3 linked regions of the Canis lupus familiaris genome follow. The protein of the gene in region 2 interacts with the protein of the main gene of each other region in a pairwise test. Links are inferred from orthologs where the notes say so. Each region holds a gene or a part of one and is shown on either strand. Other genes may lie near its edges.

What was found.
Region 1: the proteins of TK1 (region 2) and TUBB2A interact in a two-hybrid assay, tested with the Homo sapiens proteins (2 studies listed by BioGRID and IntAct). The link is inferred for Canis lupus familiaris from reciprocal best matches to the Homo sapiens genes TK1 and TUBB2A.
Region 3: the proteins of TK1 (region 2) and RBM48 interact in a two-hybrid assay, tested with the Homo sapiens proteins (2 studies listed by BioGRID and IntAct). The link is inferred for Canis lupus familiaris from reciprocal best matches to the Homo sapiens genes TK1 and RBM48.

What each region holds. Positions count from the first base shown.
Region 1 is NC_049256.1:4,732,468-4,743,033, reverse strand, and holds TUBB2A (tubulin beta-2A chain), read left to right. Parts: upstream 1-3,508; 5' UTR 3,509-3,610; coding exon 3,611-3,667; intron 3,668-5,669; coding exon 5,670-5,778; intron 5,779-6,125; coding exon 6,126-6,236; intron 6,237-6,910; coding exon 6,911-7,971; 3' UTR 7,972-8,165; downstream 8,166-10,566. Other genes in the region: BPHL (valacyclovir hydrolase), read right to left, coding at 8,536-8,623. UniProt on the Homo sapiens protein: Tubulin is the major constituent of microtubules, a cylinder consisting of laterally associated linear protofilaments composed of alpha- and beta-tubulin heterodimers.
Region 2 is NC_049230.1:3,864,528-3,875,439, forward strand, and holds the start of TK1 (thymidine kinase, cytosolic), read left to right. Parts: upstream 1-1,482; 5' UTR 1,483-1,552; coding exon 1,553-1,618; intron 1,619-1,766; coding exon 1,767-1,798; intron 1,799-2,775; coding exon 2,776-2,886; intron 2,887-5,526; coding exon 5,527-5,620; intron 5,621-10,912. UniProt on the Homo sapiens protein: Cell-cycle-regulated enzyme of importance in nucleotide metabolism. Catalyzes the first enzymatic step in the salvage pathway converting thymidine into thymidine monophosphate.
Region 3 is NC_049235.1:18,069,073-18,078,084, forward strand, and holds RBM48 (RNA-binding protein 48), read left to right. Parts: upstream 1-477; 5' UTR 478-488; coding exon of another isoform or gene 489-522; coding exon 523-633; intron 634-705; exon of another isoform or gene 706-861; intron 862-1,652; coding exon 1,653-1,843; intron 1,844-3,879; coding exon 3,880-4,025; intron 4,026-5,506; coding exon 5,507-6,075; intron 6,076-7,426; coding exon 7,427-7,513; 3' UTR 7,514-7,741; downstream 7,742-9,012. UniProt on the Homo sapiens protein: As a component of the minor spliceosome, involved in the splicing of U12-type introns in pre-mRNAs.

The sequences.
Region 1 (10,566 bases), on a different chromosome or scaffold from region 2:
TAGTAAAAATAACACATCCCGGGACATGAAACATTGCAGAAAGGGGCTGAAAAACATTACCGTGCATTTACTCCAAATTATTATTATCTGGTGCAAAAATTTATAAACTGTAACTTGTTGGCATTGATGTTTCCAAAGCAAGTTAAACTGGGGTCCAGGCTATTTATAGTTTAGGAAGTCAGGTTTTTGGTTTTTTTTTTTTAAGATTTTATTTATTCAAGAGAGAGAGGCAGAGACACAGGCCGAGGGGGAAGCAGGCTCCATGCAGGGAGCCCGATGTGGGACTCGATCCCCGGATCCCGGGATCACACCCTGGGCCCAAGGCAGGTGCCAAACTACTGAGCCACCCAGGTGCCCCTGAGGAAGTCTTTTTAAAAAGGAAGCACTTCCAAAGCTTTAAGTAAAATTCCTCCATCTTCATATGGAGATGCTTTTATTAAAAGCTTGCAAACGTGTGCTCACAGCTGCAGGAGCGTTTCACAGGAAAGAGACTTTGAGGCGCCTTGTCCCCTGGACCCTCTCCGAGGGCACAAACAGGCTGTGAGGCTGCTCCCGAATAATTCATGCCACCTGGTTGCCGGAATGGTTCTTGGCTCTTCATTATCCTATTGACGTTTTCGAAATTTCAGGATCCCAATTTAGATCTATTTCAACCAGATCACAGGTGTCCCGGCAGAGACGGCCTCGGCTCACAGCAGTGGCCCGCAGGACAGCCCAGGCGTGCAGAGGCCACCCCGGCCAGAGCAGAGGGAGGGCAGGAGGCGACGGCCCCGAGAGCCAGGGGCAGGATTCTGAGCCCGTTTGTACCACGCAGGCAAGGCCCAGCCTTCTACCGGGAATTCACTCCTTTCCTTTCCAGTTTGAATTTTGTCATCATCACCCCAAAGTGCCTTCAGGCAGGGCCCGGCTCACACTCCTGATGTCAGTGACATCAAGTCCAAAGCAGGAAATGACACATGGCGGGACGACGTTGGCTCTCCTCCCCCACCACCCTGCCCAAGGGCCCAAAGAGCTGCTCCTTTCTGGACGGGAGGGTCCGGAGAACACCCCCGACCCCAAAGCTTGCCCAAGGCCTGCTCCAGGGGAGGGCATCTCCCCCGTCCACAGCTGCGCTGCTGTGACAGCTGCTGGCGCGGCGCTGGCCCCGAGGAGGACGACGGTAGGAGCTGGCAGCCCTCGATGAGTCACCTTAGGCCGGGCAGGCATCATTGAATAAACTGCCTGTGTGCCTCTGAGGATGTGCCGACCGAGGACAGAGGACAGGCGGGCCTGGGGGAGGGGCGGGCGGCCCGGGGAGGAGGCCGGTCCAGACCGCCAAGGCGGCGTCCTCCGGCTGCCAGAATCCAAGGGCCAGCCCTCCGGTGCCTGGGCCCGGGGAACCCATGCTGTCATTTATTTATCAACCGCATGCTCACGAAACGACCGACCGGGTCACAGGCAGTGACTCTTGCCTCCCAGCATAAGGAAAACAGATTTCCCTGTTTCAGATGTGGGAACAGAGGCTCAGAGAGGGTAGGTGACTTGCTTAGCGACCGGAGCAGGACGAAGTGGAGCGGGCACCCCCCACGAGGGTGATCTTTCCCTGCCACAGGTGGGGAAATGTCCACCCACTGGGGTCCCACGTCCCCAAGATGGTCCCTTCCAGGTCACATATTCTTCTCCTATTTGGCCCCAAATCCTCATCTTGTAGGAAACCACAAAGACCAAGAGGCAATTGCCTCCAGAAAAATCTCTGTAGCTCTGTGTTGTTAGTGAAGCTACAGGGAGCAGGGCCATTCTCTGCAGAGGAACTGGAAGGCTCTAGAAGCTCGGGAGGAAATGGGAGCTGGAGATAGAGATGGAGAGATGGTGGAGGCCAAGCCGAAGAACCTGGCAATGATGTCAGTGGGATGGACTGGGGGCGGGGGCGGGGACTCTGTGCTGGGAGAGGAGAGGGGGAGGGGGAGGGAGCCGGGAGCCGGGAACCCCCTCCCTCCCTGAGACAGCACCTGGGTGCCCCGGGTGCCCCTAAGACACTGTGATGCAGCCGCAGGCCACAGGTGGACGCGGGCCACCGCCGCTGGATGCCACTACCAACCCGGCAAGCAGGCTTCGGGCCTACAGCAGCAGCATCACCTCGGCTTTTATAGGGTATTCTTGATCCATAAATTTGACCTGCTTTCATCCAGAGCTTCTCATTTCCTACTCACAAAGCTGGCGGCAGGGCACCTATAATTATCATCATTTTATGGTTGGAGAAACTGGCCCCAGAGAGGAAAAGGAGTATGTGCAGGGAAACAGAAACCGTCCCCAGGTCCCCGCTCACCTGGCCCAACGCTCAGGATCATCGTTGAGAACAATCAAGACTGGATGTTACCTCACCCTGACCAAGCCTTTAAAACTCACCTGGGCTTTGTCTTTGTGGAAGGACTCGAGGTGCCTTCACTTACTGGCTTTGTAGCTACTCAGCTCTTTGAGGCTCCTTCGCCGAAATTGGGACAGTAATTACGTCTACTCTAGAGCAGGGCTGTTCACTGGAAATACAATGTGAGTCACTCAGGTAACAAAATTTTCCAGTAGTCGCTACTAGTGTAGTAGTCATTAAAAAAAATATTCTATTTATTTATTCATGAGAGACACAGAGAGAGAGAGAGGCAGAGACCCAGGCAGAGGGAGAAGCAGGCTCCATGCAGGGAGCCCGACCGGGGTCTCCATCCAGGGTCTCCAGGATCACGCCCTGGGTGGAAGGTGGCACTAAACTGCTGAGCCACCCGGGCTGCCCTTGTAGTAGTCATTTAAGAAGGTAAAAGAAAAAAAAATGAATTAAAACCTATATCCAAAATAGTATTTTGATGTGTTATCAATATGCAAAATTAGTAAGTCGCTTAACTTACTGAGTCCATGAAATGCAGTGACTGACTTACACGCACAGCGCCTAGGGCACATCTCAAGCGTTCAGGAGTCGCGCGTGGTGGCCTTTGAACGGGGCTGCGCGGCCCTGGAAGGAGGCCGCGGGGATTAGGTGACACAGCGCGTGGAGGGCTCGGGATCCGGGGCTGAGGCCCCTGGCATCCTCCGTGGCACGCAGGCCCCGCGCAGAACTCGCCGCAGCTGCACGGCCCTTACCAGGGCCCAAGAGCCCAGGGGATGCGCGGGGCCAGCGCAGCCCCTCGCACACCCACCGTCTTCCCGACGCGGTGGCACCTGCGGTCCCCGGAGCCCCTCCCCCTAGTCCGTCCCGCACCCTGGCTGCGGATCCGCACCTGCTCCAGGCCCCGCGCAGGCAGGAGCCCCGCACCCCGCCGAGGCCCCTCCCCCGTCTGGGACCCGCGCCCCCAGCCCGCCTCGGGCGCCCGGAGCCACGGGAGGGGGCGCCGGCAGCCGAGCCCCGCGCCCGGCCAGCCCCGCGCCGCGCACCTCGCACCGCGCCCCGGCTCCCCCTCGCGGTGCCGCAGTCCCCGCCGCCCCGCCCCCCGCCCCGCCCCATTACGTCACCGCGGGCCCGGCGGGGGCGCCTCCCGCGCTATAAAGGGCGGGGCGGGGGGCGGCGACTGCTCTCTGCTGCGGACTCCGCCGGCTGCGCCGCGCTCTGCTCCCCGGGCCGCGCCTCCGCCCGCCTGCAGCCCGCACCATGCGTGAGATCGTGCACATCCAGGCCGGCCAGTGCGGCAACCAGATCGGCGCCAAGGTGGGCGCGCCCGGGGCCCAGGGTGCGGACCCGGCGGGGGCGGGGAGCGGGCGGCGGGCTCCGAGGGATGCGGACCCCGGCGGGGGCGGGGGAGAGGGTGGCGGGACCTCAGGGTGCGGACCCGGGCGGGGACGGGGAGGGGGCGGCGGGACCTCAGGGTGCGGATCCGAGTGGAGGAGGGGGAGGGGCCGGCAGGACCTCAGGGTGCGGACCCGGCAGGGGAGGGGGAGGAGCGGCGGGACCTCAGGGTGCGGACCCGGCGGGGGCGGGGAGGGGGCGGCGGGCTCCGAGGGATGCGGACCCGGCAGAGGAGGGGGAGAGGGTGGCGGGACCTCAGGGTGCGAACCCCGGCAGGGGAGGGGGAGGGGCGGCGGGACCTCAGGGTGCGGACCCCGCAGAGGAAGGGGAGGGGGCGGCGGGACCTCAGGGTGCAGACCCGGGCGGGGACGGGGAGGGGGCGGCGGGACCTCAGGGTGCGGACCCCTGCAGCGGAGGGGGAGGGGCGCCGGGACCTCAGGGTGCGGACCCGGCAGGGGAGGGGGAGGAGCGGCGGGACCTCAGGGTGCGGATCTCTGCAGGGGAGGGGGAGGGGCGCCAGGACCTCAGGGTGCGGACCCGGCAGGGGAGGGGGAGGGGCGCCAGGACCTCAGGGTGCGGACCCGGCAGGGGAGGGGGAGGAGCGGCGGGACCTCAGGGTGCGGATCCCTGCAGGGGAGGGGGAGGGGCGCCAGGACCTCAGGGTGCGGATCCCGGCAGGGGAGGGGGAGGGGCGGCGGGCCCCAGGGTGCGGGCGGGGGCGGGGGCGGGCCGGGGCCAGGTGTGGGCGGCCGTGGGCCCCGGTGGCGCCTGTGAGCGCGGCGGGGAGCGCCCCGACCTGCCCGGGCCCGCGGAGCCGCAGTGGGGCTCACGCTCACGGGCCCTTAGGACTCCCGGCCGCTGCCCAGGCGCTGGGGTGGGCGAGCCGCCGCGCTGCCAGTGGCCTGGAGCGCAGCTTAATTCGATTGTGTATGTCCCTCTATAGTTTGAATGAAAAAATGCAGTGTCATTGGGGTGGCGAGCTAGAGGGACTTCTTTTTAGGTTACAAAGACCAGGATGCTCGGTGCCTACAGGGGCGCCATGGACGCCGAGCCCCACTGTCGCGGGCCGCTGCCTGTGGGCTGGTGGCAGGTGCGGGGCCCTGGCTCGGACCGCGGCGGGGGGGGCGGGGCGGGGGGGTGAGGCCGCGGCTCTCCTAGGGCCCGGCGCTCCCCTCCGCACCCCCCGCCTCTTCCCCCGCCTCCCCCCGCCTCTCCTTCATCCCCCCCCCCCCCCGCCGCTGCACATTCACACGGAGCTGCGCCCTCCCAGCGCCCGGCTCCAGCCACCGACCCCCGCAGGGCTGCCGCTCCCACTCTCCTCTCCCCATCCTCCTCCCTTCTTCCCTCCCTCTTCTCCCCCCTCCCCCCCTACTCTGTAGGGCTGCCGCTCTTCCGGCCCCTGCCCTTTCCCCCCCTCCGTCCTCACCGCTACCCTTCTCCTCTCCCCCACCCCTCCCCACCGGCCCCCGCGGGGACAGGGCGACCCGCCCGCTGCTGTCCGAGGTCCCGGCTGCTGCCTGCAGGGCTGGGTGGGGTTTGCACCCCGAGCAGGAGCACGCATCCCCGAGGCAGTGGCGGGGCGGGGTCTCCGCAGGCCTCCCTGCCCATCAGGGGCGGCTGTGACCTTCAGCCCTGCCGGGGGCGCCCGCCTCCCCAGCATCCGGGGCTCTCCCTGCCGGGGCCTCCGCCGCGCCCCCCCTCCCGGGGCAGTGCCCCTGGCAGCCTGGGGGAGGGGCCGCCGCCCTGCGCCCCGACGAGCCCCCCTGCGGCAGCCCCCGCAGCACACGGGTGCAGCTCTAGGCCCCCCCCCCCCCCCGCCCCCACGGGGCCCCTGCTCCAAGGACAGGGAGGGGACCCAGGGGCCGCCCTCCTCACTGGCATCCAGGGTGCCAGCCCCCTCCCTGACCTGTGTGTCCTTCCCCAGTTTTGGGAGGTCATCAGTGACGAGCACGGGATCGACCCCACCGGCAGTTACCATGGAGACAGCGACTTGCAGCTGGAGAGAATCAACGTGTACTACAATGAAGCTGCAGGTGATGAGCCATGCTTTCTGCCCAGTCCCCCTGCTTTGCACGCTGGGGCAGACGCAGTGTCCTAGGGACAGCCGGTGGCCCCGGCACAGAGAGGCTGCTTGCATGCATTTAAAGTGTCAGCTGCTAAAAATGACTGGCGAAGCCCCCCTGACTCCTGCATGTTGGCCATGACTAAGCAGCCGCCGCTGGCTCCTCTTCTAAGGCAGAGAGACAGCTCTGTTCGCTGCCTTTTGTCTCTGGTGCTAGAATTTTCTCTAATGATGCTGCTGTGAGAGGCGCATGGAGCACAGCCCGGGCTGTGATCCCTGTGCCCCCCGCCCGTCTAAGTCCGGCTCTGTTCCCCGCAGGTAACAAATACGTGCCTCGGGCCATCCTGGTGGATCTGGAGCCGGGCACCATGGACTCGGTCCGGTCCGGGCCCTTTGGCCAGATCTTCAGGCCCGACAACTTCGTGTTCGGTACGTAGTCACGGTCAGGGCAACGGGCTCCAGGAGTCTCCTTCCTCAATGCCGGGCAAGTCCCGATTCTTAGCGTCGCCTGCCAGGTGAAGACTGGGGGTCCACAGAGGCCTGGGTCCCGGCCTGAGCCCCCGGCCCCTCTCCGGGCAGCTCTGGGGACAGTGTGGGCCCAAGGCGGCCTCTAGAGCCCTCCCAGCGCGCAGCGGCCTAGGACGGGTCAAGAACACAGAGCGGGACCAGCGTCCCCACAGGAGTCAGTGGGCTTCTGGTAGCATCGCAGCCCAGGGCCAGCGGGCAGCCACTTCAGGAAGCCAAAGGCCAGGGGCACAGGTTATGCCCAGAAGTGGAGGCAGCTGCTTAGGGCCCATCTTCTCTTCGGATCATACTGTGCCCTTGCTCCTGCCTGTTTATTTCATCTGCTGTGAACACTTGTACAGAGCTCCTATTAAACCACCTTCCTGATAAGTTAATAATTCCATATAAACTAAACTTGCTTTTATCTCATTATGATCTCCAGTGGTTTTGAGGATCATTGATATGTAGAAAATTTTCCATGGGTAAAAAAGGGTATATATAAGAGCAGAACCGGCAAGTCTGCAGATTAGTCTGCAGTCCAATGACAATTCAGAATTCCTAATGTTTTAGTGTCTAATATTCTCCTTTCCCCCTGGCAGGCCAGAGCGGTGCCGGGAACAACTGGGCCAAGGGCCACTACACCGAGGGCGCCGAGCTGGTAGACTCGGTGCTGGACGTGGTGAGGAAGGAGTCGGAGAGCTGCGACTGCCTGCAGGGCTTCCAGCTGACGCACTCGCTGGGCGGCGGCACGGGCTCGGGCATGGGCACGCTGCTCATCAGCAAGATCCGCGAGGAGTACCCCGACCGCATCATGAACACCTTCAGCGTCATGCCCTCGCCCAAGGTGTCGGACACGGTGGTGGAGCCCTACAACGCCACCCTGTCGGTGCACCAGCTGGTGGAGAACACCGATGAGACCTATTCCATCGACAACGAGGCCCTGTACGACATCTGCTTCCGCACCCTGAAGCTGACCACCCCCACCTACGGCGACCTCAACCACCTGGTGTCGGCCACCATGAGCGGCGTCACCACCTGCCTGCGCTTCCCGGGCCAGCTCAACGCCGACCTGCGCAAGCTGGCCGTGAACATGGTGCCCTTCCCGCGCCTGCACTTCTTCATGCCCGGCTTCGCCCCGCTCACCAGCCGCGGCAGCCAGCAGTACCGCGCGCTCACGGTGCCCGAGCTCACCCAGCAGATGTTCGACTCCAAGAACATGATGGCCGCGTGCGACCCGCGCCACGGCCGCTACCTGACGGTGGCCGCTATCTTCCGCGGCCGCATGTCCATGAAGGAGGTGGACGAGCAGATGCTCAACGTGCAGAACAAGAACAGCAGCTACTTCGTCGAGTGGATCCCCAACAACGTCAAGACGGCCGTGTGCGACATCCCGCCGCGCGGCCTGAAGATGTCGGCCACCTTCATCGGCAACAGCACGGCCATCCAGGAGCTGTTCAAGCGCATCTCGGAGCAGTTCACGGCCATGTTCCGGCGCAAGGCCTTCCTGCACTGGTACACGGGCGAGGGCATGGACGAGATGGAGTTCACCGAGGCCGAGAGCAACATGAACGACCTGGTGTCCGAGTACCAGCAGTACCAGGACGCCACGGCCGACGAACAGGGGGAGTTCGAGGAGGAGGAGGGCGAGGACGAGGCCTAAGAACTTCTCAAATAAATTGTGCATCTTTAGTGACCTTCTGTTGTCCTCAATCAAGCATGGTCTTTCTATTTGTATACTATGGTGCTCCGTTTTGCCTCTGTCAGAAATTCACTGTTGGTGTAATAATGTGGAACTCCTAAAAACTACAGTATTGTCTAAGATATCTATACTAATAAAAAAGCATGTGTCCAAAACGTTGTGGTCTCTTCAGTTTCATTTCAGGCAATTTTTATTCTTTTATTTATTTTTTAACATTATATTTATTTATTCATGAGAGGCACAGAGAGGCAGAGGAAGAAGCAGGCTCCCTGTGGGAAGCCCGATGCGGGACTCGATTCCCCAGACTGCGGGATCAGGACCTGAGCCAAAGGCAGATGCTCAATCACTGAGCCACCAGGTACCCCTAGAGGATGTTTTAATGTCATTATTTCTATTTGGGAGCAGTTTGCAGGGAGGAGTAGAAAGTATGGGAAAGCAGGTGAGCTGAGGAATGACAGCAAGAGGCTCACCAACAGGTGATTCCACAGTAAGGCATCATCAGGTTCCTGCGGTTCTCGGGCATTTTTACTGTAGGAAGTCTTCTACTAACTTATTGAATTCATCTGCAAAGCGCAGATGGAGGTTGTGCTTGCCTTCTGGCATCAGATGCAACCTGAAAAGAAAAAAAGCTTATGATTAATGGCATACCATTTAAAACACTTACCCTTTCTAGCATTTCATGAAAATCTGAAGTGAAAAACTGCCCCCGTCCGTTTTTTCATGATGCCTATTGGGGAGGAAATGTAATATAAACTTTTCCCGAATATAGACATAAGGGTGAAAGCTGCGTGGGGAGTTTACAACCAACCTGGGGGTTGACTTAACAGAGCACACACAATGTATTTGGAATTTGGAACTGTATCATGTAACAAATGGTTTAACTTTATTTTTTTTATTTTAAGATTTTATTTATTCACGAGAGAGAGAGAGAGAGAGGCAGAGGGAGAAGCAGGCTCCACACAAGGAGCTCCAATGTGGGACTCGATCCCAGATCCGGGGATCAGGACCTGAGCCGTTAATCATAAACTTTTTTCATTACCTAAAGGGGGGAAAAACTCTTTAATAAGGTTGATTTTTTAAGAGAGAAGGTTTGAAAGGCAAGAAAAATATGAGATGTCCAGACTCCACTGGATTGGAATAGGGGAGCTTCCTGGGATATCCTAGAGTAAAAGCCCAAATCAGAAAACACAGGCCCTAGCGGCTTGTCATTTAAGGTTCAAAATCACCCTGTCATTTTTGGAGGACTGAGTAAGTCTGAATACATGCCATCAGACAAAAGGCAAGTAAGTGTTCCCTGGGATGGTGAGGGCAGCTGGAGCCAGCCTCAACAACCCTTTGTTCTGCAGCTGTCACAACATGTCTTGTGGCAAACCTCACTGTGCTCCTCATAAGACTTCTTCCATAAGCTTTTGGTCAAGTGTGGCTGGTTTGCAATTTCTTTAATACAGGCAATTTTCCCTGAGTTCTATTTATTGGCTTTTTTTTTTTGGCTGTGAAAGTACAGAAATAATAAGTTTTAAAGCTAGGATATAAGCACAAGTTCAGGCTGTTGTGTCTATAATAACAATTGGACATTAAAAGGATCCTATTGGGGCAAAATGCCAGTTATTACACTAATTCTCTGACCTTTCAACAACTGGGGGTTGAGAGCTCTATGAACTTCAGCGAGCACTAGGGAGGATTTGTGGGGAGCAGGAACTGGGGAATAGCTGTCCTTGGACAATGTCAGTGCCCCTGCAGCTCAACCACGTGGGGTGTGGGCTAGAAGTACCTAGATACACATCTTAATCCACTTGAAAGAAGGATATATTGTTGCCATCTTTCTGAGGCCCTTGGGAAAGCTTGTAATGCCATTAATAATAGCCAGAACCCTCCAAATTCAATTCTAATGCTGTTCAGAGAAAAAAGGATCAGCAGCACCAGCCCCAAAGACAGGATCCCAGTTGCCCTACGCAAGGAGCAGGGTCTGCAGGGATGCTCAGGGCCTCCAGTTGTAGAAGGCAGAAAATAACCAACTGCCAAGGATATCGAAAAGTCATAGAAGGACATGTCTACGCTAAGCTGCATCTCCTCATGTGTGCTAGGTTGAACTCTGAAGCAGAGGGACCCTGACCTACCCAAGCTGGAAGTCCACTTTTTGGGTAACCAAGCTGGCTATCACATGCCCTACCCTGTTTCTACAATTTGCTCGGATTCCCAACAATGAAGGAGAGATACCAGCTGTGCCTCATTTCTTTTTAGCCTCAGTGTACCTGCACTATTCCTACGGGAATCTCTGAGTCTTAGGGAAATAAAAACTAGGTCCTCTTCGTTAACAATATGCGAGGCCTGTTTTCAGGCATTTAACCTTAGAACTGCCTGGAATGGAGATGGATGGATGGATGGGGCTAAAAATAAAATTGCTCTTCTCCTTGATACGGTTTAGGGGTCATTATAAGGTCCTTACTATATCCTCATCCTTTAGGTCTGACACAGCATTCACTACACTTAAAACCTATCATGTGTTCCTCTTTGGAAAGAATCCCCCAGACAAGCATAACTATATAGCTCTCAGGG
Region 2 (10,912 bases):
CAGTGTGGAGTTGGACACGGGGCTGGAACCCATGATCCTGAGATCATGACCTAAGTTGAAATCAAGGGTCAGGCCTCAGGCGCCCATGAGAGGGCGGGATTCTGATTGCAGGAGTCACGGCAAAGAAACAAAGGTCAGGAGAGAGGAATCAAAGGTCAGTTTGGAAATGCTGGTGAGTCAGACCACCGAGACACAGAGGTGAGGTGGAAGGAGGGACTACGGGGAGAGGATCTCAGATGTCAGGCTAAGACACAGAATTAATGCAGAGAGTAGCAAGGAACCAGGTTTGGGAGAAAGAGCTCAAAGGCAAGGAGAAAGAGTGAAGCCTAAAATGGGAAATTTTAAGACGGGGTGGCTTCATGGAAGGGTCCTGGGCTCTGGTGTCAGATGGGTTGAATGCCATCCATGTTCTATCCCTTACAGGCTGTTTTACCCTGGGCAGCTTACTTATGCTCTCTGGGCCTCAGCCCCATCTACATAATGGGCATAATAGTAGCATCACAAGGTTGAAGGACATAAAGCATGTAAATGAAGTAAAACTAACCATTCAAATGTGGGTTATGGCCCCCTCCCGTTGAACGAGGTGCCTGACCAGCGTTCTTTAGATCCTGTACAATCTGTGCCTGCGGCACATAGCGGCACACGCTGTCACTGCTACCGTCATCTTCCCTGTCGTTATGTACAATAACAATAATGCAATGGGTTTCTGACACAGAGAGAACGGGGTTTTCTTGGGGGGGGGCGGGGGCAGAATGCATAACTTATCAGATTCTCACATGTATCCGTGACCGGAAAACAAATAAACCAACCCAAACCAACCCAAAATACAGCCTGAAATGCAGGGAAACTAGTTAGGAAATCATAGTTGAGTGATAACCCTAGTAAGTGCTTTGCCTGTCCTGCGGTGAACGCCGGCCTTTCCGAATCCTTCACCCCGGCACATCCTCCATCCACGTTGTGGGACCTCAGTGTCGGGACTGTGCCTCCTTTATGGATATTAGCACAGCCTGTTTTCTCTACCCTGAAGACCAGGCGCCCCGAAGCCTGCCTGTGGCCAGAAGCAAAGGAGATGCCGGCGCTAGGGCTTTGGGAGCGGCGCACAGGGGCCGCCGGCGCCCTGGGGGGCTGGGCTCTGGGTCTCTAAGCTCGCCTCCCCGAGGGGAACGGCCTCTAGGCCCCGCGCGCCCCGCTCGGCGCAACCCGCCTACCTCCTTGGACAGCCGCTTCCAGGGCGCCGGGCCCTCCATCCCGCCGCGGCCGGCCAGAGGGCGCGCCCCGGCCCTTTAGAGGCCCTTTAGAGGCGGCGGCCGGGGCGGGGCCGACCGTCCAGGTGACGCGAGCCCGCCGGGTCCCCGGGGCCGCCCACGAGGGGCGGGCCGCGCTCGAATCTCCCGCCAGTCCGCGGCCGCGCGCTGATTGGCTGCGGGGCGCCCGCGCCGGCTCCCGATTGGCCAGCGCGCCCGGGATAAAGGCCGGCGGCGGGGGCACCCGGGTCAGGCTGCTGGGCGGTGGCACCCGAGGGCTCCCGAGCGGCGGGCTTCGTGCAGGCGCCATGAGCTGCATCAACCTGCCCACCGTGCTGCCCGGCTCCCCCAGCAAGACCCGGGGGCAGATCCAGGTGCCGGCGCGGGGGTGGCACCCCGGCGGGCGCGGGTGGCGGGCCGGGGTCGCGACCCGGGTGCGGGTTGGGGTTGGGGTTGGGGTTGTGGCCCTGGCCTGCAGTCCGTGCGCAGCGGGCCCCGAAGTGACCTCTCCTTCTCTCCTAGGTGATTCTAGGACCCATGTTCTCAGGAAAAAGGTAAATAAGTAATGTCCTCGCGGGGACGGCCTTCTCCCCCCTCCCTTCCGGGGGCCCGTCCTCCTCCCCTGCTGCCCCTCTCAGTGCCCCCCTGCAGGACGACCCCTCCCCCGGACCGAGCACGCGTTCCCGCCCCATGCGGTCCTGCAGGAGGGCGCCTCTTCCCTGCCCGCGGGGTTCAGACCCTTCCATGGGGTCATGGCACCACGTCGCCCCCCTGCAGCAGGTTATGGCTGCTGAGGGTGTAGTCCTCCCTCCCCCCACCCTCCCACTAAATCTCTCTTGGAAAGGAGCAGCCAAGTCTTTTCGTTTCGTTTTGGTTTTTTTTTTTTCAATTTAAAATTTTAATTCTTCTAAAATGGTGTCCTCGGTGAGCTGGGTCCTGTGCACCCTGCAGCATCCACACTCCTCCTTCCCTTCCTAGTGTTTGTTTCCTTAAGTAGTTTACACACTAAGGAGTCAGGCCAGGATGCCTTTGCTCCCCTGATGTGACAGGACGGTGGCCTGACCCAGGCAGGGCTAGTCGGCCCCCTGAGTGACGCCCTCTGCCCTGGGGGGGGTCACTGCAGGGCAAACCTGGTGCCCACCACAGTCAGGCCAGGGTGGGCTCTGGGACCCAGAGGTAACTGCTTTTTTTTCTTGAACAACAACAACAAAAGACTGCGAAGTCAATGCAGACCATGTGAAGACCTCTGGGATGGGACTCTTTGGGGATGCAATCCAGACCCCTCTTCTCTGTCGGAGGCCTTTGACTCTACTCACCCCATCAGATCCCTGAGACATTTATTCTCCCACCCCCTCCCCAGACCACCTGACCTCTGTTCCTTGCCATCACCACCCTCTGTCCTCTCTGGTTTTTCTGTCCATTGGTGGGTCTCAGGCTGTAGACCCCCAGCAGGGGTGGGGGGGGAGCCCCACTTGTGCTAATGGGGACTTCCTTAACATCCTGGGTCTCACCTAGTGCTCTGCTCTTGCAGTACCGAGCTGATGAGAAGGGTCCGTCGCTTCCAGATTGCCCAGTACAAGTGCTTGGTGATCAAGTATGCCAAAGACACGCGGTACAGCAACAGCTTCTCCACGCATGACCGGTCAGTCCCTGTTCTCTCCTGTCCTGTCCCAGCACTTCTTCCGGAAACCTGGTGAAAATGCGCAAGGGCATAGGCCATACTGTCAGAGCGCTCTTCAGCAGGACTGGTTAGCCATGCCGGTGGGCGGCATGGAAACGTGCAACTCAGCAAACTCTCAAGGTCGCTTGGCAAGGGATCTTAGGACTTGGCCTCTCACAGAGTTCTGGCCCGGTGTTCTTCACAAAGGGAGATTTTGTTCCCCCTCTCGCTCCCTCAGAGTCCATTTGGCAATGTCTGGAGACATCTGTAGTCTTCACAGCTGGAGTAGGGGAGGGCATGCTATGGGCATCCAGTGGGGAGAGGCCAGGGATGCTCCTGAATTCCCAGTGCACAGGACGGCCCCCACAACAAATACTGACCCTGCCCCGATGGTCAATAGTGCCGAGCTTACATCTGTGCTGTTGCAAACTGGTTTTGTTTAGCGTGCATGTTGCTTTTCATTTAGCTTTTCAGTTGTTTTATCTTGGTTGACTCTGTTGTCTTGTGGCCTTCATGCTTCCCAGTTTTGTGTTTATCTGCCTGTGCCCTGCACACGTTTCAGTCTGCAACCTGAGGTCGGGAATGAGAGGTTGAGTTTAGTTTTACTCTTGCCTGTTCCTTGGCTGCAGATTTCTGAGCCTGAGATGTTACCTCTTTTGGACTTGTCCGCCCGAGCCGCCAGCGGCAGAGCCACGCTGTGCCACAGGGAGGGCTTGCAGCCTCAGGACTGCCCCGTGTGTGGCTTTGGGGTGGGAATGTGGGGTTTCTGAAGCCGGGCGGGTGGTGGGTGGATAGTGTCTAGGAATTGGAGTTAAAGCATCAGGATGTGAGTGACTGGTGCTTTCTGCCGTGCTGCCCTATGCAGGTCATTTAGGTCTTGCAGTTACTTCTTCCCTAAAACATGTGTCTGCTTCTGCTGCACTGGCCAGGGGCACATCCAGGGAGGGCAGTGCGAGCAGAGGAGGCCGCATTACGCAGTGATAAGTCAGATCAGGGGCATGTCTGAACTTGGCCGGAGCCGCACACATGCCCTCTCACTTGGGCCACAGAAGCTGAGACGGGCCATGGCTGTGACTCAGCCCTTGGCGGGAGTGACAGGGCTCCAGAGATGCTGCCCTTGCCCACCCTCTGGTTTTCTCTGGCTTGGGGTGGGAAAGGGGAATTTAAAATGCAGGAAATACCATCTCCTGCTCTTGCCAGATCTTGGAGTAGACTTATAGCAAGATAATAACTGAGCAGTGGTTGTATTTTATTTTTTCTAAATACAGCTACAGGCTGCTGAGCCTTTGGAAAGTACCAGCCCCCAGGGGTACCTGGATGGCTCAGTTGGTTAAACGTCTGCTTTTGGCTCAGATCGTGATCCCAGGGTCTTGGCATCGAGCCTCCATTTAGGGAGGAGACTGCTTCTCCTTCTCCCTCTGCTCCTCCTCCTGCTCTAGTGTGCACGTGCTCTCTATTTTATTTTATTTTTTAAAGATTTTATTTATTTATTCATGAGAGGCACAGAGAGAGAGAGGCAGAGACACAGGCAGAGGGAGAAGCAGGCCCCATGCAGGGAGCCCGACACGGGACTCGATCCCAGGTCTCCAGGATCACGCCCTGGGCCAAAGGCAGGCGCCAAACCAGTGAGCCACCCAGGGATCCCCTCTCTCTTTCAAATAAATAAATAAAATCTTTAAAAAGGGGCAGGGGAGTACAAGCCCCTCAGAAGGCTACTTAGAGCAGGAAAAATGAACACAGAAGAAAACAACATTGTAGAAAAACACAGAGACTATTTAAAAAGACGGGGGAAAAAAAATAAAAATCAATAAAAATAAAAAGACGGGGGAGAGAGAACAGCATCCCTGTTCAGAAAAGGCCCTGGGTGTGGGGGCGGGATGGGGTCCACCGTGCCACGTAATGCACTGGAACCTTCCCACACATGGCCTTTTGCTTTCAAGCTCTTGTGAATACGACTCTCCCTGTGGGGCGCGCAGGGCAGCACTATGACCTTGGATTTGAACCTTGGCTCTGCCAGTTAATAGCCCCACGAACCTGGAAGAATCCTCCGCTCGGCCACAGGAGCCCAACGGAGGGAATTCTCTGGCACTGCAGGCTGAAGTTCAGGCTTCTCTCTGCGGGGACACACGGAGCTCGGGGCCTGGTGCTAATGCTTTGCCCAGGACCACGTTGGACTTTCCCCGGGCAACTTTACCTTTGTGTGCCCCTTCCTCCATAAAAAGAAAGAAGTGAAAAATTATATCTCATGACCGCGTTGATAATAAAGACAACTAGAGTGCAGGCTGAGTTGTATTTACGTACTCTTTTTTCCCATTTTTAAGAGAAAGAAAGCGTTTCGCCTGCCCTGGCCCCCTGAACAGAAGCAGAGCTTTTGAGTCCCCGTTAAGCTTTTTTTTTTTTTTTTCCCCATTAAGCTTTATATCACGCATTGCTCATCTCTGGTCCAGAGCATCAAGTGGCCTAACTTGGGTTGAATAACTGGTCTGAACATGGGTCTTTATTCTCCCCAGATGCCCTCTCACAGGCACTAACTTCAAGCTCGGGCCAAACGGTGCACGTGCTTTGCGGGGAGGGTGGGCCTGGGAGCCGGTCCCTGGCTCACTGCTGGCTTTCTCTCCCCAGGAACACCATGGAGGCACTGCCAGCCTGCCTGCTCCGGGACGTGGCCCAGGAGGCCCTGGGCGTGGCTGTCATAGGCATCGACGAAGGGCAGTTCGTAAGTTGGCTTGTCTGGCCTTCTGCCTACGGACTCCCGGTCTGTAGTTCACTTGCTTTAACCGGTGTCTGAATACCCTCTGGATTCCCCGTACTGCTTTTCATGTTTTAAGGGATTTATTTTACCTTTTTTAAAAAATATATATATACAATAAAAAGAGGGGTGGGGCGGGGCACCTGGGTGGCTTAATCAATTGAGCCTCTGACTCTTGATTTCATTGCAGGTCATGATCTTACGGTCGTGAGATGGAGCCTCCCATTGGGCTCCGTGCTGGGCATGAGGCCTGCTTAAGACTCTCTCTCCCTCCCCTCTCCCCTAAAAAAAAAAAATCTGTAATATATTATATATATATATTTATATTTACAATGAGGGGAAAAAATTAGGTTTCTTGGGGTGCCTGGCTGGCTCAGTCCATAGAGCATATGACTCTTGATCTCGGGGCCATGAGTTCAAGCCAGTTTCTCAACACTGGTGTGTAAGAATGTTTTGCTTGGCTCACTGTTGCTTCTGGCTTGTTCCTCTTCCAGCTGAAGTACATCCTTTAGTAATTCTTACAGCTAGGACGTGTTGGTGGGAAGCTTTCTGCGTCTTGGTAGGAAAATGTCTTTAATGTTCTCTACGGTAAGTAGAGGGCAAAGGGTACCTTGACTATGGTTTCTCCCCGTTGCTTTGGAAAAGCAGTAGCTCTTCCTGCAGCTGAGGAGAAGGCCGCCGTTGGTCTGTGGCTGCCGGCCTGAGCAGGTAACGAGTAACGGGTTTGCTCTCAGGAAAGTGTGTCCTGGGAGGTTCTATGCTTGGTGTCTGGTGTGCCTTTGACATGTGAGCACTCATGTCCCCATGCCTGGTGGGGAGAAGGATGCCACTATCACTCTGAATCTCTCTCCCCACCTCTGGCAGGTGTTCTGGGAACATCTCCCAGTGTGTGTGCTTTCAAAGCCTGCTTTTTATTTGGGATTTCCAGTTCTTTTTGTGTAAGTCCTGCTCTAATTCACATATCCTTGCTATTTACAGATGTACCATTTGTCTTTATTTATTCATGAGAGACACAGACTGAGAGAGAGAGAGAGGCAGAGACATAGGCAGAGGGAGAAGCAGGCCCCTCACACGGAGCCCGATGTGGGACTTGATCCCAGGACTCCAGGATCACAACCTGAGCCAAAGGCATCTGATGCTCAACCGCTGAGCCACCCAGGTGCCCCTGTACCGTTTGTTTTAACTGCTGCTGTTCCTTCCCTTGTCTTTCTGAAAATCGTGCGTGAAAGCCTTTCCTGGCTCACTCTTTTCCAAGTCAGTGATGGGGAGGCTTGCTGTTGGCTTCTCAGGTTGCCCTGGAAGGGCGCATTAAGAGAACGGAATTGAGAAAGCTTTAGGGGTCCCTGGTGCGGGGTGGCATACCTAGAGGTTGCATGTGTGGCCTCTACTGACCTTCTGCCACTGGAATTTGGGCACCTGGTCCCCCACCTTTTTTTTTTTTTAAGAATGTATTTATTTATTTATTTGAGGGAAAGGAAGGGGGGGGAGAGGGAGAAGCAGGCTCCCCACTGAGTAGGGAGCCCGACACAGGGCTGGATGCCAGGACCCTGAGATATCATGACATGAGCTGAAGACAGACACTTAACCCCGTGAGCCACCCAGGGTCCCTGTGCCCTGAAATTCTTTTGTGTGTGTGTTTGGTGAGTGGTTAGTGATTGCTGCAGGGAGAATCCATCTTGGGAACCGGGGGCATCTATCCCACTGAGGGGCTGGAGAGGGCTTGGTTATTAGGACTAGGGCTTGTAGGGGTCATTCTGGACAGGGTTTTAGGAGGTTAGCTTAGTTCTCAATTCAACGCCCTCAGGAAGGAGGGTGATCCCGACCGGGATCCTAAACCTTCTTGCTAGGGAGGGAGAACCATGAGGCTGAAGTGGAGTCGATAAAGCAGCAGCAGTCACTCCTGTTGGCCAGGACAGGGGAATGTTTGGTCCCTTGTAGCTTATTGAGTGTTGACGTCTGTCTCCGCTCAGACAGGACTATGGAGGGTCTTGTTTTTGTCTTGACACATTGCAGTCATAGAGTGGCCTTGCCTCATGCTCGTGCTCCATGAAATTATTTATGTTCCACGTGATAACTCCAGGGCCCAGTTGTGAGGGCCAGGCCAGCTCCTGCTGCTGGGCTGCTGTTCTCTTTTTACAACCCAGAACAACAAACAAAGCCCCATTACACGTTGGTTCTACATCTGTCTAGTTTTTATAGGCGTGCATTTTTATTTAATTAATTAATTAATTAAAATATTTTATTTATTCATGAGAGACACAGAGAAAGAGGCAGAGACACAGGCAGAGGGAGAAGCAGGCTCCATGCAGGGAGCCCGACGTGGGACTCGATCCCGGGACTCCAGGATCACACCATGAGCCCAAGGCAGGCGCTAAACCGCTGAGCCACCCAGGGATCCCCTGAGCCCCCCAGGGATCCCCAGCGTGCATTTTTAAATAGAGGGGCCTCCTATCACACTGTGGGCCGTTTACCCGTATCAGCAAGTGTACCCATCCTTATGAGTGTTTACAAATGTACTACCTCACTTATGCCAGCCCCCTGGCATGTGCATTTGAAGTCTGTGATGGGCATCTTGGGCTGCTGGCTGTTGTATTGGGATTTATCTGCTAAGTGGAATTGCTGGTCAAGGGGCCAATTCCATTCATTCATTCATTCATCCATGCTTTTTCTGGGCTTGTGCCCCACACCAGCTGTGTTCTCAGGGTTGGGGATTCAGCCAGAGTCTCCACCCCTGAGCCTACCTTCTAGTCCAGGGAGAGAATGATGTCCTAGGTCAGGTGGAGACAACTGGCCTGAAAGGCAATGCCAGGGGGACAGAGCTAAGGTGGGGTGGCTAGGAAGGGGCCTGCGAGAGAGCCAGGGAGTGAGCTGTTGGCCGGCTGTGTCTGCGGTAGGAGGGAGGTGGGTGGGCTCTGGGCAGGCTGAGTGGAGAGTGAACAGCAGGCGCAGAGGACAGGGCGGTGGGACCGCTGAGCCTTTGCAGAGATTCCCTAGGAGAGAGGTGTAAAGGGCAAATGGCAGAGGGTGCGTGTTTGTGCACACCCGTGCCCGCGCACCCTGTTCTACTGCATTTCTCTGCTACAGAGAAATTACTGCTACTGCTACTTGACATCTGTTTCCATGTTTATTGGCTATTTATATTTCTTTATCTTTTAAATTGCCTTGTAAGGGCTTTCACTCCTTTTTCTCTTGGTTTATCTTTCTTCCAGTGCACTTGATGGCTGGTGTCACTTTGTCATGTGCTGTGATATCCTCCCTATTGGCCTTTGAATTCTGTCTGTGGCATTTCATGTAGCGTTTCACCATCCACAGCTGAATATTTTACTTTGTCCGTCCTTTATTACTGTCCTTTGTGGCCTTTGCCCCTGTGAGGCCAGCATGCCTGCCAGGGAGTGAGGCCCCAGCGGGGGCAGAGCCAGGGGTCACTTGGCCGCACGTCACAAGCCAGCCAGCTCTTGGCAGAAAGATGACGGAGGTGCAAATCCACTCGGAGGCTTCCTAATCTCTACTCTGGGCTCTGTCCCCTCCATCAAAACTCCTTTAGGAAGCGAGCTTGCTGCCGGTCACCCGGAGGTGTGGCATGGGCAGCTGGACACGAGTGGGCACACTTGCCACCAGCTGAGAACCCTCTGCTGGTACTTTCCTACATGGATCCCATGTTGTAACTGTGTCTGCCAGGAAAACCCAAAGTTTGTAAAGTGCTTAGAAGTTCTATTATGTTTTTTATTTATTTAGTTTAAACATTTCGTTAACTTATTTGAGAGGGAGTGAGAGAGATCACAGAGGGCGAGGGAGAAGCAAACTCGCCACTGAGCAAGGAGCCCAACGCGGGACTCGATCCCAGGACCCCGGGATCATGACCTGAGCTGAAAGCAGACGCTTAACCTACTGAGCCACCCAGGCACCTTACTTATTTTTTAAGAGTTTTTATTTATTTAAGTAATCTCTTTACCCAACGTGGCGCTCAAACTCACACCCTGAGATCAAGAGTGGCGCTCTTCTGACTGAGCCAGCTGGGCACCCTGAGGTTCTAGTTTACTTTATATTCTTTTAAAGATTGTATTTACTTGAGAGAGTGGGAGGGAGTGGGGGGAGGGGCAGAGGAGAGGGGAAGCCAACTCCCTGCTGAGCATTTCCCCACCCAGAGATCATGACCTGAGCCAAAACTGAGAGTTGGAGTTTAACAGACCGCACTCCCCAGAGGCCCCGCTGAAGTTTTATTTTAAGTGTAACCTGTATTACTTGCCTAGGGCTGCTGTAACAAGTGGCACCAAGCAGACAGCTTACACAGCAGCAACTGATTCTCTCCCAATTCTCGAGGCTGGAAGCCCAAAGTCAGGGTGTGGACAGCAGGCTCGTTTCCTTGTGAGGGCTGGGATGGGAATAGTCCAGGCCTCTGCCCTTGGCTTGTAGATGGCCATCTTCCCTCTGTGTCTCTGTCCAAGTGCCCCTTTCTCGTAAGGACAGCAGTCCTATTGAATTGGGGCTCACCTTGCTGACCTTACTTTAATTGGGTGGCATTTGCAAAGACCCTTCCTCCGAATGAGGTCAGATGCTGAGGTATTGGGGGTGAAGGTTTCAATGTGAATTTGGAGGGCGGGAGGGGACACAGGTCAACCCATAATATAACATAAAAACTAACAGCAATAAAAATAAATGCCAGTAACGTGCTTCCCAGCGAGTGTTGTGAAGTGTTGCCGGCCATCTGCACAGAGCTCTCCTTATCTTTGAGACCTTGGGAACGCCTGCTGGGGACTGTTTCCCAGGGAGGTGGCATGTGAACAGGAGACGAAGTGAGATCTTTGAATGTCGGCATCATTTGCATGTGGGACCATGCTAGCATGGGGGGTGGGGCGGGGGGGGGTGCTTCTGTAGCTTGGGTCTGGCCAGCCCTACAGAGAGTAGTAGGAGTTGGCTTCGTCTGAATCCTACTCAAATCACTCTTGGTTTTCCTAGCCACCTTCACGGTCCTTGTCTTTGCTAACTGTCCAGGTCTCTGTAACCTCACACCCCAGTAAGTGGGCCAGGTCGGGCCTGAACAGCGTGGGGAGAGGCCCACTGCCCCAAGACAAGAACGTGCCCGTTCACACAACCCAAAGAGCAATCCAGATAGACACAGTCCACTGGAGGCAGTATGCTTGCACAGTGAAAACCCAAAGGATCTGCACAAGTAGCAGCCTCACCCTGGCCCCTCAGGATGACAGCTGGTTTACCAAGTAAACACAGGGCCTGCTGTGTAAATAGCTGGCGGAAACTTGA
Region 3 (9,012 bases), on a different chromosome or scaffold from region 2:
GAGCCCCGTCCGCGGGCGGCGCGGTACCTGCAGCAGGTGCAGCTGGGCCACGAGGCGCCGCGGCAAGCGGAGGAAGCAGTCGCGAGCGTTGGTGAAGACGACAGTCGCCGCCACCCCACCCCCGTCTGCACCCGCCAGGCGGTCGCCGCCCCACATCGTCCGGCGCCGAAGACGCCCCCGCCGCGGCAGCCCGCTCCAGCCGACGCCCGCCGCGGGGCAGGCCGAGGCCGTCGGAGCCGGAGAAGATCGATCGGCCCCGCCCCCTGCGGCCCCGCCCCCTCGCCGCGCGCCCGTCCGAGGAGGGAGGGGCAAGCAAGCTTCCCCAGCAGTCCCGGGCCTCTCCGCCGCGCCGCCGGAGGGCGGCACCTCGCTCACCCAAGTCTCACTCGCCGGAAACGATGCGGGCCGCCGTCGGCTCTCCAGCCAATCCAGGCACGCCGTGGCCCATTCCCCTCCGTCATTGGGTGGGCGGGAGGGCGGCCCGGCGGATGTTGTCGTTTTGGCCGGAGCCAAGTAGGCAAGATGGCGTCGAGCGGCGGGGAGCTCGGGGGCGTATTCGATCACCACGTCCAGAGGGCCGTGTGCGACACGCGGGCCAAGTATCGGGAGGGGCGGCGGCCTCGCGCTGTCAAGGTAAAGTGACTTGGGTTTTCACTCGCTATCCTCGATAGCGTTATCATGCCCGGCTTGATAGATGAAGGCTTGAGGGGCTGCGGGCCTGCCCACCAGGCATCGGCGGTGGGACGAGAGGCCGGCGCTCAGTTACCAGACGTTCTCACGAACTCCTCGGCTACCTGCTAGAACGTCAGCTCCGCGGGGACGGGGCTCCGCTTTAGTCTTTGTATCTTCCGTGCTTACGTGGTAAGCGCTCAGTGAATCGTTCTCGCTCTCTCTCCAGTTAACTTCTCCTGAGCCAACTTCCGGAAAATATGTCCATTGAAGATACTCTGTGTTTTAATTAGAGGCCCTGACACGGAGGGGTGAATTTATTCTTTATTTTTTCTGCAGACCGGCTGAACAGAATGTTTCTTCTTTTCAGGGCTTTAAGTTTTTTGTTTTTTTTTTTAATTTTAATTCTAGTATAGTTAACCTACAGCGTTATATTAGTTTCAGGTGTACTATATGATAATTCAGCACCTCTGTACGTTATTTAGTGCTCATCATTGTAAATGTACTCTTTAATCCCCAGAGCTTTTTCTTCTTTTTTTTTAAATAGAAGATGTGTCTTAGGCTTATTTGGAAAATACATTTTTTAATTTAAATTCAGTTAGCCAACGTATAGTACACAGTGTCAGATGCAGATGTTCAATAGTTTATCAGTTAGGTACACCACCGAGTGCTCATAACATCATGTGCCCTCCTTAGTACCCATCACGGAATTACCCCATCCCCGCCCACCTCCTCTCCAGCAACCCTCAGTTTGTTTCCTAGAGTTAAGAGTCTCTCTTGGTGTTTCTCCCTCTCTGATGACTTCCCGTTCAGTTTTCCCTCCCTTAACTACGATCCTCTGCGCTCTTTCTTATATTCCATGTATTAGTGAACTGGAGAGTATTATGTTATTTGGTGAAATAAGTCAATCAGAGAAAGGCAGGTATCACATGGGTTCACTAATATGTGGAAAATACATTTTTATGTGTCTGCATTTCTTTTAGGTATATACAATCAATTTGGAATCTCGGTACTTGTTAATTCAAGGAGTTCCTGCGGTGGGAGCAATGAAGGAATTAGTTGAGCGATTTGCTCTATATGGTGCAATTGAACAGTATAACGCTTTAGATGAATACCCAGCAGAAGACTTTACGGAAGTTTATCTTATTAAATTTATGAATTTACAAAGTGCAAGGTAATGTGCAAGTTAAGCTTAAGTTTCATTTCCGCCATTCCCATTGCTAGCACATTGGTCCCAGTTGTCCCTCGTTCATACCTGAATTACTGAGTAACGCTGTATTATTTTAATCTTACTCCAGTCTTTTTTTTTTTTTTCTTTTTAAGATTTTACCCATTTATTCACGAGAGACACAGAGAGAGAGGTAGAGACACAGGCAGAGGGAGAAGCAGGCTCCCTGCAGGGAGCCGGACGTGGGACTTGATCCCAGGTCTCCAGGATCACGCCCTGGGCTGAAGGCAGGTGCTAAACCGCTGAGCCACCCAGGCTGCCCTATCTTAACTCCAGTCTTAAATGTCATTACCTTGCTTAACAATCTTCAGTCATATATTGTGGTAGATTACAAAATGGGTTTGGATAAGTTTTCGAACTTCACAGCTTACTAACATCGTGACTTTGGACAAGTCATTTAACCTCAACAAGCCTGTTTTTTCTAGTCTCTGAAATCTGTACAGTAAAAGGACCTACTTTGAGGGTTGTGTGAGGATGGTATGAAATAATCCATGTAAAGGGCTGAAACATAGTGCCTCCTGTTGAGAATGCAGTAAACATTAGCTATTGAAGTTCTTTTTTTTTTTTTTTTTTCTTTAAACTTGCTGGGATTTTTTTTTTTTTTAAAGATTTTATTTATTTATTCATGAGAGACACACAGAGAGAGAGAGAGGCAGAGACACAGGCAGAGGGAGAAGCAGGCTCCATGCAGGGAGCCCGACATGGGACTCAATCCTGGTCTCCAGCCGCTGAGCCACCTGGGCTGTCCGCTATTGAAGTTCTTAATGTTATGCACCTATGTGAATTGACTCAGTCTTTTCCTGCCTTCTGCATAAATTCTGTGCTTCAATAAGGGTGAAATGCCTCATCTAGTTTTATGTTTACCCCATTCTTGTCACTAATTTGCTCCAATATCCATCCTTTGGCTATTACCATTCATACTTCCTTTTTCTCTTTAAAAAAAAAAAAAAAAAAAAGATTTTAATTACTGTATCCCCAACATGCTCAAACTTACAGCACCAAGATCAAGCATCACATGGTCTACCGACTTAGTCAGTCAGGTGCCCCACCATTCACATTGTCTTTCCGTACTCCAAATAGCACTTGCAGTCTGCCACAAAAGCACTTGATTTTTATAGGGTTATGTATTGTTCTCAGTTTGCTCCCTTATGTGATCTCACTTCCCCTAACCAACTTCCCCTCATAGTTAGCGAAGCATATTTTCTAGAGTTTTTGCATCTCCCACAGCACATAATATGGTAGGTTGTGGAGTTCAGCATCTCAATTTGAATCATAACTCCACAAACTAGTGTGAGCATGGCTAAATTATAAATCTCCTGAGGCCTCCTTAGGTCCTCATAGGGTTTTATGAAATCTTAATTCAGGTGAAGTACTTAGGGCACTGCCTGGTGTGTGATAAAATCTCAATAAGTATTTCTATCATTATCCCTAGACACGCAAGTACTTAAATATTTATTGTAGTATAATGCTTAGCCAGTTACATATGTTTGATAAGTATTTGTTGAATATCATCATGTAACTTTCTCGTTGCTTATATATTCAATATTTACTCAATTATTGAAGATTTTACTATTACAATATTTTTATTTGTGAATCCATTGTGCTGAAAAGGCTAAATTGGGTATGAGCTGACTCTTAAGGGACATTTAACACAGAGAAATCTCTATTTCATGACCACAGATTGTGTACCTCAAGTTAACTATTGGCTCCTAAGTTGGTTAAAGGGAGTCTGGTTATGTGTGGATGACTTAGCTCAAAATCTGTTAGTAGTATAGAGCGAGGGGATGAAAGGCTTGAAGAGTATGCACTAGATCAGTAGAGTTAATACCATACACAAGTAGAACATCTTAACTCCCAAACCATAGGATGTATGTACACCTAGCAAAACCTGGACTTTTGGATCAATGCATTGTATACTATTTCAGCTTTCATCCTAAGTAGGTCAAGATTAATAAAACATGCTATCACATATTTCTGTTTAGGACAGCCAAGAGAAAAATGGATGAACAGAGTTTCTTTGGTGGATTGCTTCATGTATGCTATGCTCCAGAATTTGAAACAGTTGAAGAAACTAGAAAAAAATTACAGGAGAGGAAGGCTTATATAGCAAGAACTACTAAAAATAAAGGTTTGTAAAGCCAGGTACTAAACATCTTTTGTGTGTCAGGCAGTCTGCGAGGTGTATCATCATAGAGCCTCCCAGTCTAGTGGGAAGAGAGATAAATAATCACAATATTCATTAACTATAAACTGCAGGATTCTGTGCAGCACTCTCAAGTAATCTGGGCTGGAAAGGGAAAGATGTTAGTTTGTGACAAGAGTCCTACAGGATGAAAGAGATGGCTGAGTTTTGAAGGACAAGTAGACATTACTCAGAAGGGGAGATGGAAAGGTAAGCCAGGTAGCATGTTTAAAGAGCAGAGGAATAAGTAGACATCATGTGTATGAAGGAACTACAAGTAGTACAGGGCAACCACAACATGGGCTGCTCCTAGAAATAAGATTAGAAAAGAGGACAGGAACTGAATCATGAAGTGCCTCGTGTCTGTCCCATGCTGAGGAATTAAGGCTTGACATAAAGGCAGTGAGAAACAATTATGATTTGCAGACTAGTTACCTACTGCCAATCTAAAACTATTAAATGTGAAAAAGTCCCACTTTTGACCAGTAGCTGGCCAGAGACGCCATATGCCCCACTGAGTTTCACTAGACATAAATTCCAGGTGCCTGGAATAGGGTCTCATGGGATTTGGTACAAGGATTGTAGGAACAGAGCACTCAGAATTGGACTAAAATAATGTGTGTGGTCTGAAATCTGAATAGTCCTGGAGGCTCAGATGACCAGTTTTCCACCCTTTAGTTGAAAGACCAAGTCAGTATCCACACAGTTATTGAATATGAGGAGTTTATGACTGGGGAAGTGGCCTGTGGCAGAGGTGAAGAGAAGTAAGGAGGGAAGACTCTTGGAAGACTTATTTGAAAATTTGGCAAGAGAACTGTTGAGAGCCCATGGTCATTAGTAGACCCTGAACTTTAACCCATGGGATATGTGAATAGTTCTAGGAAAACTTTATGGTTGTGTGGCAAATAAAATTACAAAATATGGGTCCAGCATACTGCCTCTTTTAAAAATTAAACACAAACTAAGCAGCATGATACATTCATACAGTAGACTCCTCTGAAGCTGTGAAGAAAGAAGCATTCTATGTAATGACCAAGAAAAAATCTCTAAGATCTCTAAGATCTACAGTTAGGTGGAAAATGCAAAGGAACAAAGAAATGGATATTATGGAAAAAGAGGAGTTGGTGGGAGAAGGAAAAGTAAGACCTAGCTGGACAGATAAATAAGAAAGAATTGGGATTACTTATGGAGAAGTAGAAACGAGGAAGATGGGGAGCAAAGAAAGAATGACACTTGACACTAATATATTCTTTATCCTTTTTAGCTTTTAAATACAAGGTATTGCCTGCTTAAGAAATAAATTATTCAGGGTACCATTGTTAACATTTAAAGTAATGTTTGTTTTTAAAATTATAGTTTTCTGAATGATGAAAACAATAAAACATTTCTTTTTCCTCTTATCTCACCTTTTAAATTGTAATGTGAAGATCATTACATAACAAAGAAGAAACGGGTTACAGAGCTTAAAGACACAAAAGATTTCAGACAGAACTTCCATTCAGGGACATCTGGATTTCGTGCAGTCACTGTGAATACTTCTGCTGGCAACTCAGACCCTTGTCTTCCTTATTCTTGTGAATTGCCTTTATGTTATTTTTCCTCAAAATGTACATGTTCGTCAGGGGAACATATGGGTAAAGCATCCAACTTCTCTCAGGACAGTAGAAACCATGCTAAAACAATGGAGCATTGTATGCACAATGACTCTTTGCAGAAGATACAAATGAAACCTTTAAAAAATTCATTGGCCTTCCCTGGTGCACAAAAGGCTATTACTTCTTCAGAGGCAGTTGAGAGATTTATGCCTAGGACAACACAACTGCAGGAGCGGAAAAGAAGAAGAGAAGATGATCGTAAAATTGGAACTTTTCTTGAAACAAGCACAAGTAGTAATGAGGTTATGATTGGGCCTCTGTTACCAGACATACCTAAAGTGGACATGCATGACGACTCATTGAATACCACAGCAAATTTAATTCGGAATAAACTTCAAGAGGTAAGATCATTTTTAAAAAACTATTTTAAGAGACCATCTGGTCATAGGACTAACAGCTAAATCGAGATTTGTGGCAGCTAAAGTATTGTCATTAATTTTTTTCATTTTCAGTTTTTTTTTTATGTGTTTTTCTACAGTTCTGTTGAATTAACTGAATTTGACTTAACAGAAATGTATGTGCTTTGATGTCATTAATCCTTGCTTTAAACAATGTATTTCATATCATTCTAGCTCTAAACTATAAAAGCAGTGGTTTCAGTCAGTGAGGTTGGTCTGTGAGAATTGAGCCCAGGCCCTCCCTTTTTAAAGCTCCCTGGTTGGTTCTATTATGAGCCAAAGTACAGAACTGTTGTGTTGAAGGAAAATTACTACAACTTATTTCTTTAAAGTTATTACAAAATTACATTAAATTAAAATGCTTTTTTCTTCTTTGATAAAGATAGCCATAGAAAAAGATGAGATTTCTAAAGACTAGCCACTACGGTCTGCATTTCAAAATGTCAGCTCCTTAAATAGAATACAGCTCGATTGTACTACTTAAGTAGTAATTTCTTTACATATTATTTATGTAATCATTTTACATTTTCCAAGCACCAATAAAAGAAAGCTAACATTTGAATTAGCTTTTGAAAGATACCTTTTTTATGGGGCAAACCTCGTAGAAATCAAGCTGAGGAAGAAAGACCATTCTCTTAAACTTTAATCTGAGGTTCAGAGAGTGCTTTTTGTGTAATTGTATGTATATTTTACAGAGTGATTAAGGGAGTCTGAGGTGGCTTAGTTTATGTGTATTTTTTTTTTTACCTGAAAATTACTATCTCATTAAGGATGAGCTCCTATTTTATAATAACAAAAATCTATAAACGCAGTTTCCATGCTTAAGCCTCTTTTTAAAATTTTTAGTTTGTGCTGGCCCCCTTCCTTCAAATACAGCTGAGCTGAGGCATAGATAGAGATGCATAGCGCTCTCAGCCAGAGCAGACTGTATTTTCAAGAAAAAAAGTTGTTAGGTTCAATTCCTAAAAAGGAAACAGCAGAACAACAAAAATGAGAAATGCTTAAACACAACTTACTACAGATGCTAATAATAAAGGATTATTATAGAAGAGTACATATTTATTTTTCTCCCTTCAAATTTTTTTTCTTGTTAAATGGCTTTAGAAATTTTACTCCCATCAGTGTTTGGACAGAAAACTTTGCTCTGTAGGCTATACCCTGAAATTGGACTCACTCTGCCTCCAATGTGATGGCAAGATTTGAACTACTAGATGTAGATCCTACCTCTTCTATTAGTTTATTTATTCCTGTGCTATAAGGAATAAATGTTGGTGGTTCTCTTTTTTTAAACTAGGTAATTTCATCTGTGCCAAAACCTCCAGAAGACAAGCTGGAAGATGTGCATTCAAGTCGTCCATTAAAACAAAGAAGAAGAATATAGATTGCCAGCAGCAAATTATGTTTCCTGAGGGACTATTTATTATTTTTAGCCTGTCATTTTAATTCTTGAAGAGGTTGTACTGCAGGAATTTTCTAATGCATTCCTCTTTGTAATATCATTCAACCTACTTATTTAATAAAATTTCATCTTTTAAAATTAGTTTATCATGGACAAAATACATGCCAGCCAAATATATTCCTTAATAAAAGAAAACAACTTTTCCAGTGATTCTGGTTACATCTTACTAGCTAGAACTGGGCTCATGGCTGTTCCTAACTGGGGAGGTCTGGCATGGTAAATAAATGTTTAGGTTTTCTTTTTTCTTTTTTCTTTTTTCTTTTTTTTTTAAGGTTTTCAACTTCTGTGGTTGAGGAAGCAAGAGAAAAGGGGGTTATGAAAGGCTTATTCACAGGATTTGCCTTAAGATCTAAGCCTTGTTGGCTAACTTAAAAAGTAAAATTAGTTTATCATTACTTATAGGTGTTATTTTGATCATACTTAATATTACAGAAACTGTTCTTATTCTCACATTGCAGTAATTATAGGTAAATGAAGTGAAGCAAAGATAAAAACTTTAGAATGCAAGTAAAGATAGGCAGTCAGGATCTGCTTCTGATTTTAATACAAGTATTGAGTAATTCACATTCAAAAACTAGAAGTCAGGATGTGTCTGAATGCCAGGGCTTCAAAATCAATACAATTCTGTAAAGTAAAAAAAGGTAAACTATTAGAACAAACTATTAGAAAATGCTAACCACTACCCTTAGCATACCCACATTGTTTTTCCTGTCAGGGAACCACATAATTGGAATTTGGAATAATTATGTTCACTCTTTCCCTTTTTTTTTTTTTTTTTAAGTGATAAAAATAACTTGAGAGAGCCCATATCAAATGGTGGTCTGTTCTTTTTTCTCTATACCTTGCCTAATGAATTGATTTTGAATATACCAGTTAAGAAAGTTCATCAGTTATGACCTACTGATTGAAACTTGCTGGGATGGCTCCAAGTGGTAGATGGTATTTAAAGAAGTTTTAGGCAAGGGGTTTGGCCTTACTTCCTTGTAAGGTAATTAGAGATTTTTCTTTGCTGAATTCCCAGGTAAAAGACACATTAGAGACCCAAGCATAGAATTGGAAAGAGCAAGTTACTGTCTAGAACACACTTCTCAGATGTTAAGATATTATGAATCTTCACCTCAGGGTCTTATTAAAATGAAAATTATGATGATAGTGGCCAGGAACTTGTGGGTTATAGGAATGCAGAATTGTTCACAGGTATGGAGTTTCAGTTTTACAAGATAAAAACAAGAGTTCTGGAGATTGTACAACATAGTATACCTAACATTACTGAATTGTATGTTTATAATTGGTTAAAAGGGTAGTTTGTATTAGATCTATTTTATCACAATTAAAAATTCTAAGGGAGAATTTAAATTCTTTTTTTAAAAATTTAATTTATTTATTCATGAGAGACAGAGGCAGAGACACAGGCAGAGGGA